Arabidopsis thaliana: one gene and its partner. The protein of the gene in region 2 interacts with the protein of the main gene of each other region in a pairwise test. Each region holds a gene or a part of one and is shown on either strand. Other genes may lie near its edges.

Region 1 (5,389 bases), on a different chromosome or scaffold from region 2:
GCTACTTTGTTGAATTAAATTTCTAAGAAAAATATATATGAATTCGTTAGGATTTAATTATAATAAGTAAACTGTAATTTGGTTTCACTAACGAAAAAAAAAGTGCGGCCATAAAAGCAGTATCGGCTGCAAGATTCGAAAAACCTTTACTTTTAAAATTGTAGAAGACAAAGGACTAGATGACATGCACATGAAGATAAGATGAGCAAATTTGTTAAAACTTTTTATCTCCATGGATAAGAGTTTGCCCGATTTATACAAAAGAGAAGTTCGGATAAAATATAACTAATTCTGGTAAAACATTTTGAGTCAACTTTTATAGATCGGTTGACAACTAATGTGTAAGCTTATATTATGGTTTATACATAATATATTCATCACGTAATCATTATTACTTATTAGTGATCTGATCGCATAATATAAAATGAGAGTATTAGTCATCAAAAGTTACCACGTATCATGCGTTTCTCAAAATGTTAGAAAAAACACATCGTTTTCTAATCAACGGAAAAATCAAAGTGTCTTTGGACAAGATCAGATGTTCTTTTGATTAAAACCTCTTCCAGTAATTGTAAACTGTACAAGTGCATTTTCTGAAAATCAAAGTTTTCTTGGACATGACTAGAGATTCTTTGATTAGAGTCTTCTGGATTTTGATTGACGTTAAGATATTTTTGATTTAGACATATACTAAATCCTAATTAATTAAAATTATAGATCGAAAACATTATGGTCTCGTAAAGTTTAGAAACTATGGACCCACGAAGAAGTGTTTGGCGAATAAGCGAAGGATTTAATTTAGTTTTGGGTATATAGAAAACGAAGTGTAAAGAAAACGTAACGTTATGGCTCTTTCTAAATTGGGTTTGTTTTAAGTACTCGTAACCACTTTCAACACATTCACTGTATATAGTGTGTTGTATTATATTGTTTGAGTCGTCATATGATGAGATTGTATATATATAAAGAAAAGTCTTGGACCTTTTGATATGGTGATCCATCACATCAACTACGTAATGGTAATACTAATGCTCTACGATAGATGCTATATTTACCTAAGAAAACCGATTTTTTAAGAATGCACTGAATTTTGCTATCAATCAGTTAACTATTGATAAGTCATATTTAGATTTTTATTTTGTTTCATTTGTAAACAGAAAATCACAAGACGTTGGAGACATCTTGGCTTGCTCCTGGCACCTATAAAAAAATGTATGTTTGCAATAATATTAGGGACTTATTAAAGTAGGCCCAATGGGCTTAAGATTCCACCAAATTAGCTTGACAAACACTAAGGGCCTGTCTCGGATATTAGTTGTTTTTAATTAGCAATTGAATAAACTGATGCACGTTGACTCTCTTTTTTTCGTCGTCATGTTTGATTTTTTTTTTTTTTTGTCGTCATGTTTGATTAGTTCTTAAATCTTAACGATAAGTTAAATTATCGATTTAATATCAACAACTGTAGCAAATTTTAATATTCTACGTTAAAAAACTTACTACTATTTTTTTTTTTTTTTTCAGTAAAATGACACAAACATGCAAACCTAGAAAATAGCTTTGACTTGGTTAGTTTCTTGTTAAAGAAAAAGATTACAAACAATTAACATAATATATTATGCACTACAACGGGAAACAAAATTAAGAAAAAAGACTCTTTATCTACAAAAAAAAATCATATAAATGTAAAAAGGGTTTTATCATTGACAATTTGACAGTTATCAATTTACATCAAAATATATTTTAAATGTTTTTAATATTCATGTACTTAATTAGATCGCTAATAATGATAATAAATTGAATATCCTTTTTGATTGTAATAAATGAGTAGATGAGTCACACCAACTGTAGCTACCGTGTCAAAACCTTATCCAGTAACACGTGTACAGCTGGACCTCTCATTGTCGCACGTGTCAGATCATCAAACCCTAAAATTAAAATCCCAAAGAAAAAAAAAACTTTCCTCTTTCTTCGCATTCTTCTCCTCCTATCGGACTTTGCCACACCAGATCGGAAAATCCCAATCCTCTTTTCCTTTGTTTTTTTTGCTATCTTCAATCAAAAACTCTCCGACAGATTCAATGAAGCAGCAAAAGAGATAAAACCCTAACAAAAGTAAACAATCGGAGTTTTAATCTTCTTCTTCTTCGGAGCCGGAGTTTTGTCTGATCTGTCGGAGAGGACGTGTCGGCATCTATTAAAATCCTAGCTGGACTTCCACATCACTTTACTCAATTAGAAGCTGGTCTGTTTTCTCTGTTTTTATTCTAACTTTTTCTCTCGTTTAATTTCTCATATGCAAACAAACACCTTTGCATGTAACTGATTCTGTTGTACTTGAATTGAATTCTTTAATCAATTATGCAAACAGAGCTTGTTTTGGAGATGATGATTCACAAGTATGAGATTGTCTTTCTGCTTAAGAATTCGTTGAGTGTTGGTTTCTGAAGTTTGAATTGTGTGTGTGTGTGTGATTTAAAATACTGATGCATGGTTCGAAGCTTAGAGATTTTAGATTGCTATAAATGAAAGCAAAAGAACAGTGCCCTTACTCTTGTTCTGTTTTAAAGTCATTGATTGTTATAATTGAAAGCAAAAGATTTTAGTTTTGATGTTTTATGATTACTATTTATCGTTAAGATTTTTGATTTTTGTTTATAGTTTTGAGTAACACAAGTAAGTAGTAAGCTTATAAAACAATGGGAACGAGCGAAGACAAGATGCCATTTAAGACTACCAAACCAACATCTTCGGCTCAGGTTAATCCTTCTCTTCTCCTTTCTTTTCAACATCTTTGTTCTGTTTTATATTTTAAGGTGTTTGATGTATCTACCTCTCTCTTTTTCAGGAAGTTCCTCCCACACCGTATCCAGATTGGCAAAATTCAATGCAGGTTCGTGTTACATGTACAACTTTGGTCACTATTAGTTTTTATAGTGTAAGTGAATACTTTCTCGAAAACACCGGGACTGCTGAACATAATAGTATATGCTTATTTCTTTAGGCTTATTATGGCGGAGGAGGTACTCCAAATCCTTTTTTCCCATCCCCAGTTGGATCTCCTAGTCCTCACCCCTATATGTGGGGTGCTCAAGTAAGTTTTGTATCGTATAGTTGTTGATATGATTCTATGAAAAAGAAGTTTGCATCTTATTCTTTGGATAACACTAAATGAGTTTCTCTGTTTTGCATTACTTTCAGCACCATATGATGCCGCCTTATGGCACCCCAGTTCCGTACCCAGCAATGTATCCCCCGGGGGCAGTCTATGCTCATCCTAGCATGCCCATGGTAATCTCCATACCATTAATACAACATTAGCTATCGTTGAAAGCTTTTTGCTCTGTTACATGGCAATGCATAGATAAATGAGAAAGTAAAAAACTTGCTCGACATTTCTTTTGTTGTAGCCTCCTAATTCTGGTCCTACCAACAAGGAGCCTGCGAAGGACCAAGCTTCTGGCAAGAAGTCAAAGGGGAACTCGAAAAAAAAGGCTGAAGGAGGTGATAAAGCGCTCTCTGGTTCAGGGAACGATGGTGCCTCTCATAGGTGATTTTTATAACACTCTACTCAACGTGGTGCTTGTTCAGTTTGATTGCAGTGTCATATGTAATTATGATTTTTCCGTTGTGCAGTGATGAAAGTGTCACAGCGGGTTCATCTGATGAAAATGATGAGAATGCCAATCAACAGGTACTGTTATGTGTTTGAAGTGTTCTCTGTTGCTACAATACTTTGTGATGTGCTTCATTGAGATTCATGTTAATGTAGGAACAGGGTTCAATTCGAAAGCCAAGCTTTGGACAGATGCTTGCTGACGGTATGCTTTTGACCGCTGCAGTTTTCATGGTTTTTCTTTGCATGTATTTTCCATGTTTCTTGACTTGGTAAAGTTTCCTTGAACAGCAAGTTCTCAAAGTACGACTGGTGAAATCCAAGGTTCGGTGCCCATGAAGCCGGTAGCCCCGGGGACTAATCTGAATATCGGGATGGACTTATGGTCTTCCCAAGCTGGTGTACCAGTGAAGGTGTGACCAACTCCTCATTTCACCCTGCAAGGTTGCTTTTCCGAATTCGTTACATTCTTCCTTACAAAATCCTCTGATTACTCAACAGGATGAACGAGAGCTCAAGCGGCAGAAGAGGAAACAATCTAACCGTGAATCCGCTAGGCGGTCTAGATTGCGGAAGCAGGTAATATGCATTTGTGTGTTAGTATCATTTTACTCTGTCTGCTTCTTGTAATTTACTCATTCCATAATAAACCATTTCGAATAGGCCGAATGCGAACAACTTCAACAAAGAGTAGAGAGTTTGTCGAACGAGAATCAAAGCCTGAGAGATGAGCTACAGAGACTCTCAAGCGAATGTGATAAGCTCAAGTCTGAGAACAACTCAATCCAGGTGACAAACTCTTTATCCGGAAAAATTTCTGCGAAAATCATACTCTTTCCAACTTTTATCTTATTTCTATCGGCTTGCATTTACACTAGAGTCATGGAATAATGCAGGATGAGTTGCAGAGAGTACTTGGAGCAGAGGCTGTAGCTAATCTAGAACAGAATGCTGCTGGGTCGAAAGATGGTGAAGGAACAAATTAACACTTAGGAAAATTGGAACTTTACAACGGATTATTGGGATTTTTCAACACCGGATAAAAAAAACTGAGTCCAAAGTCATTTGAGATTACGTAACTATACAATCGTTTGACATTTTTGTGTAATAGAGATTTGACCTACAAGACTGTAGAAGCTGCAAAAGCTACGATTACACTTTGTTTTATTAGTCTTCGTGATTGGAATCGGATTCTGAATCCGAGTTTGTTTCTGAAACGGGGCTACCATTTGCTATTTCTCCTAGTCGTGGTGCATCCTCGTTGACTGTTGGAACAACACAGCAAGTACAAATAAAATAGTCAGTTCAATACCCTGATAGCAAAGTATTACACTAAAGATAGAAAATTAGAGTTCCGAAACAAACCTGATCCCAAGATTTTGGCAATCATTGCTCGGACAAACCGTATTTCTCCTTGGTGTGACCTAACGACCTTCACCTGCAGTTTTTTGTTTTGTTTTAAAGCGTTAGTTAAAAGTGACTGAAGAATAAGGGAGTTCAAAAGAAAGCAATCGTGTACCATTTCCCCATATACACCATCCACAAGTTGGTCCACTCTAGCTTGGTGTCGTAAGAGGAAAGGACGGATCTGGTTGTTGTATATCTGTTTTGATCCCTGTTGTCGGCAAATAAGAATATAGAGAATATCAGAACTGATGAGTACCACGGGTTAAAGCTGCCTACTCGTTAGATGATGGTTTAAAGAGATTCCGATAGGTACCTCAACAGTTGGGAGTTGAAGCCAGACGAGGAACGCAAACTTCACATGATAGT
Region 2 (5,080 bases):
TCTATCGCATGGTACAATATTTAATGCTTTAATAGTTTACTAAACACAAAAGTATATCTACAACTATTCTAGTATTTTTTTGTACTATTGTATTTTTTGTACCTGTATTTTTTTTACTTCTTTCAACTATTCTAGTATTTTTAAAACTTTTTCCGCTTTTTTGTTTTTACCATTTTGTGTCACCAATCGAATCCGTTTGAATTAAGTTTTTTACATGGAACCAATTAAAAGAATATTCGTATATCTAAACTCCAATTATGTGTTGTACTTTTTTTTTTTTTTTGCCACGATATGTTAACATTATCAATTGCAAATTTTTTTATGGACTTTAATTGAGTTTTAAAAATATTTGACTTCTTTGAAATTATAAATAGTCACAATCCATAGCTGTGAAAGTTGGCATTATAAAACAAAATAAGCCATTGAAAAAACACATGCGATATATATCCCGTCTAGTTTTCAATTGTATAAAACTATAAATTGTTGATTGAATAAATGATAGTAATGTTTTAAAATGTTAAGCATTTTTAACCCCAAAAAGTGTTGCATTTAGTCATTTTGCAATGATGCTTCGGGAGTTGAAAGTTAATAAAAATTACAGATTCTGCTATCGAAGATTATAACGATATATTAAAGTTGCTTAACTTCGATACATGCACTCATATAGAGAAATACATATGATCAAGCAACAAGGATTTATCGTCTTTCCCTTGCAAAAATACATAGAAGATACCAAAAAAATGAAGTTAAAAGTTTGAGATTTCGACAAATTTTGGAGATCTTTCTCAAGGAAGAGGAGGAACATTAGAAACTCCTTGACGTTGTAACTCCGTCATAACACCGTCAACCGACGGCGGTTTCAGTCCCAAAGGAAGCGGCAGCCACGGCTTTGATATAACGTCCCCAATAGCTGCATCTATGCTCTCATTCGACTGCAACCGTCAAGTAATGAAATATTGTTAATTATCCAAAATTTATTCGAAAACTTTTTTGGGTTATGTCATAATCAAAATCTAATAAACAAAATTGAAACCAAAAAAGGTGCACTCACGGGATGAATGTCGATGGGAGGATTAGTGGGTCCTAATTGTCTTGTGGGAACACCGATGCTTGAATGATTCGATGATGCCATACCATATCCCTACACATATATACACATAAACCATGATTAGAAATATGTTTTTGTAAAATCCATACATAATTCATAGCTCTAAATCTTTATTAGTTGTCTACATAAAAATGATTCATGATCTTGCAATCTTTTACTAATTGCGTTGTTAGACAAAACCACAATCTAATTCAATGATTCCGTTTTATACTTATATATGTTGCATGTGTTAAAAAGCCAATAGTGTACAAAGACTAGCTTTTTGCAGTGTCATGATTGTTCAACAAAGCTGATTTAGTTATGTCATTTCGATTATTTTTCATGATTTAACCATACAACTAATAATGGAAAAACATGTAACATTTTTACAAATGAATTATTATTACCTGTGGATAGAGTGGTTGCTGATGCCAGTACGGTGGATGACCTGGCCAAGATGCCGGAGCCGCCGCAATGGCCGGCATTGGATACGTCCGATGAGCAGACGCCGGAGTATTAGGCTTGTGTTTTGGCCACGTAGGATGACCCCATACGTGCAAAGGCCTGAAGTGACCATGATGCATTGGTGCCACGTGTGGAGGATAGCCTAAGGCAGGAGCTGTCCACGGCTTCTTCCCTCCTCCTCCTACTCCGGGCACTGCCACCGTGGCATGTCTCCGGAGATTCCAGCTGGCAGCTTCTGCTTCACGCGCTAGTAGATGTTTCCGATGTGACCTATATTTCTATCATTACAAGAAGAACACAACACAAATTAATCTTATTACACAAATCTGAGTTGGTTAGTATTTTACTTGTCTTTTCATAAAAAATTTTGAAGGAAAAACATGTAATCTATAAATTAGGTAATTACTATGTTAGGGGTTATAGCACTTGATTAATTCCTGTTAAAATTAGTTTGTATAGTTTTAGTCTAAAATTTACCTGAAGATGGCTAGCAACGTTGTGACGAGTGAGAGATTTAACGTTCATAATTTCCAAGATTCGAGACGGCACCGCCTTGTCTACCCCTAATTGCTCCACCGCTTGTACAAATTTCCGGTGTAACTCCGGCGTCCAATCCACCTGATTTGCCGGAACAATATATTAATTAATCAATAAATGAAAAGAAAAAAAAGGAATTCATTTTTTTTATAGAAAATTGTCTTACAGTTTTATAAAAAAAAATATTTAGTCCAAATAAACACACAAATTTGTATAGTCCTACTACACAAAACTTGGTTTTGGTCCTAGATCTACTCCAGTTATCAAACTTAATAATAATTGTGTATATGATAAATACACTAATTCACTAACTTTGTAAAAAAAATATTCAGAAACACTAGAAGTTTATGTTTTTTTAATGAAATCCTTAAAAAGGTTGGTGATTTCTTAATGGGATTTTTTACCTTTAAAGAAGAAAAAAAATAAACTAATCTAACATGGATAATTGGGAAATAAACACACCTTAGGTTTTTTCTTAATATCGTTCTCATCGGATAAACAATCTTTACTTTTCTTCCCTTTACGTTTGCCTCGACGCACCGTTTTGTCCCTAAAACCACCGTCACCACCACCACCACCCTCTTGCTTACACACACCAACGTCTCTCTCCGATGTCTCCGATGCCGTCGAAGTGTTACCCTCCATTTCTTGTTCCTCATCTCTTCCGCTACCGGAATATTCCCCAAGAATCTCCGAATCTATCTCCAAATCCGGCAAAACATCGTCTCCATCGAAACCAATGAAAAGATCGTCGTAGTAATCGATTCCATCAAGAAGATCATCGGAAAAATCCCCGACCGTCGTAAAGTCCGGCAAGTCTTCCGTCGTAAAATCTGCGAAATCTGCCGCCATGTAAGTATCCTTTGAGTTGTTTCCGATGAGTACTGGAGCCGGAGAAACAGTTAACATCGGAATCGTAAAAAAATGAAAATTCTAAAGGTTTTTTGAAAAATTTAGAGAAAACAAGAATGATACAGTGAAAGTAGTATATGAGTGTATATATATATATAGACGTGTGTGTCTGAATAGATATAGATAGTTCCAAGGTTTTATTAAAATCTTTTATATGCCGTATATATGTGTTGGTGGATACTGACATGAAAAATAAGTTGTGGTTGAGAGATAGGAGAGAGAGATTTTTAAGTTTTTTTATTCTTTTCGTAAATTTAATATTTTATTTTTGAAAATATTCAATTCAATACCATATTTTATATTCTAGTATAAGTTTATAATTGACAGTTTCCTTTTAAACATTATGGCTGTATTACAATGAATGGAAAAAATTACAAGAGCTATTAAAGATTTAAAGAGTCAAATATAGGAAATGAGAAATATTTTTGTCTATGTATACACTATTGAAATGCTCCTTTCTTGGTTGTCCCAAAAATAAAGAGGAAATGCTTTCTACATTTTTTTAGTATTTGCATAAAATGACAAAACTTTGACGACTAGCAATTAAGCAAATGCGTAAGTATTTTTTTAATAAAAAGTGATTTTTTTTTACATTTTGGAGTATAAGACTAATAATTATTTTGGGAAAAATTCAAAAATACCATTAATATTTTCTATTTATAAAAATATCAAATTTATTTTATCCATTTTCAAAAATATCACAAATATATGGATATAAAAAATTATAGAGTATGTTATAAGAAAGTTTATAAAGTCTCTATAACACATGTTATTGAGTCTTTGTAAAGTTTTGAAATTGTATGAGGTTTTGTACTTTTGTACGTCAAATTTTAAAATGATATTTTAAACAAATTTTCATTAATGCTTTTTTGAAAGTGGCATAAAAAATTGGTGCCTCAAAAAGTTTCCTAATTTTTCACAGTATGTTACTTCTTTTTTTTTTTATGTGGATTTCTTATTCATAAAATTATTTTTTATGTGTTTTACTTACAAAGTATAAAATGTTACAAAATGCATGCTTTTTCGTCTAATTATGCTATTTTAGAATCAAGCGCTACTACTATATAATAAGATTTTGTATAGCTTATATATATATATATATATTTATATATATAATAATAATTTTCTACATATTTGTTTGGGTATAAGTTTTAAGATCCATGATTTTTTTTAAGGAAAACGTTGTAAGAGTCCAATTTATTAAAAATAGTGGTGCATAAAGATAATTTAAAATAATTATTTGATTATTTATTTCACCAAAATGCATTTATCTTTGATGATATTCATCCTCAAAAACCACCAAAATTATACGTGTTTGAACTAATATAATTAAAGAATTGGTATCCTACAAATAATTTATTTAAACGACATTTTATGATAATAACGACAAATAAGAGTAAAGTCTATGATCGGATAGAATGGTTGTTCATAGTAGCAATAATTAATACGGTGTAGATTTCGACATACTGGATTATGGCGTGTATAAGATTTGTCTTGTTTCGGATCTTAACTAACACAAAACCTAAATGTTACATTTATCAAAAACGGTTTTTTACAAGGCGATTTGTTTTCTCCTTGGTTTTTCTTTTAGTTTTATTTTTTACAGAACTGATGTGGATATTCATAAATCATAGATAAAACAATTTATCCTACTATATTATTTGGGAAGTACATTTTAAATGTAACCTTAATTTTTGTAAGTAATTACATAGGTATGCCATTAGAAATAAAATTTTAAAGAGTAAATTAATTTATCTCTTTAAGGATTAAAAAGTCAAATACTAATTTAATTAATTTAATTAATTAAAAACGAAATACATTATTAATTTTTAAAAATAATAGCCAATCAAAATCAACTTATAAGATTTGATATCTAAATTTTAATTAATTTAATTTAAACTATAAAATATAAATGTATTAGAGAATGATACAATTTGCAAAACTTTTATATATAAAAATAATTCTAAAATTTTAAAAATTACTACTTAAAAAAATAATCATGGGACGGGTAAAGAAATTACAGAACGTGTTTTATTTTGGAATTGGGTTATATGGTGGATGTATTTGAATCAATATTTA

Evidence for each region.
Region 1: the proteins of GLK2 (region 2) and GBF1 interact in a two-hybrid assay, tested with the Arabidopsis thaliana proteins (one study listed by BioGRID).

What each region holds. Positions count from the first base shown.
Region 1 is NC_003075.7:17,309,063-17,314,451, reverse strand, and holds GBF1 (G-box binding factor 1), read left to right. Parts: upstream 1-1,963; 5' UTR 1,964-2,245; exon of another isoform or gene 2,246-2,661; 5' UTR 2,662-2,699; coding exon 2,700-2,759; intron 2,760-2,848; coding exon 2,849-2,893; intron 2,894-3,004; coding exon 3,005-3,094; intron 3,095-3,201; coding exon 3,202-3,291; intron 3,292-3,410; coding exon 3,411-3,550; intron 3,551-3,636; coding exon 3,637-3,694; intron 3,695-3,772; coding exon 3,773-3,821; intron 3,822-3,907; coding exon 3,908-4,029; intron 4,030-4,117; coding exon 4,118-4,195; intron 4,196-4,279; coding exon 4,280-4,405; intron 4,406-4,512; coding exon 4,513-4,602; 3' UTR 4,603-4,783; downstream 4,784-5,389. Other genes in the region: HVA22K (HVA22-like protein K), read right to left, coding at 4,784-4,881, 4,982-5,054, 5,136-5,231, 5,337-5,389. UniProt on the Arabidopsis thaliana protein: Binds to the G-box motif (5'-CCACGTGG-3') of the rbcS-1A gene promoter. G-box and G-box-like motifs are cis-acting elements defined in promoters of certain plant genes which are regulated by such diverse stimuli as light-induction or hormone control.
Region 2 is NC_003076.8:17,796,353-17,801,432, reverse strand, and holds GLK2 (GOLDEN2-like 2), read right to left. Parts: upstream 3,153-5,080; 5' UTR 2,999-3,152; coding exon 2,552-2,998; intron 2,171-2,551; coding exon 2,030-2,170; intron 1,831-2,029; coding exon 1,495-1,830; intron 1,142-1,494; coding exon 1,052-1,141; coding exon of another isoform or gene 1,007-1,051; exon of another isoform or gene 933-1,006; coding exon 786-932; 3' UTR 507-785; downstream 1-506.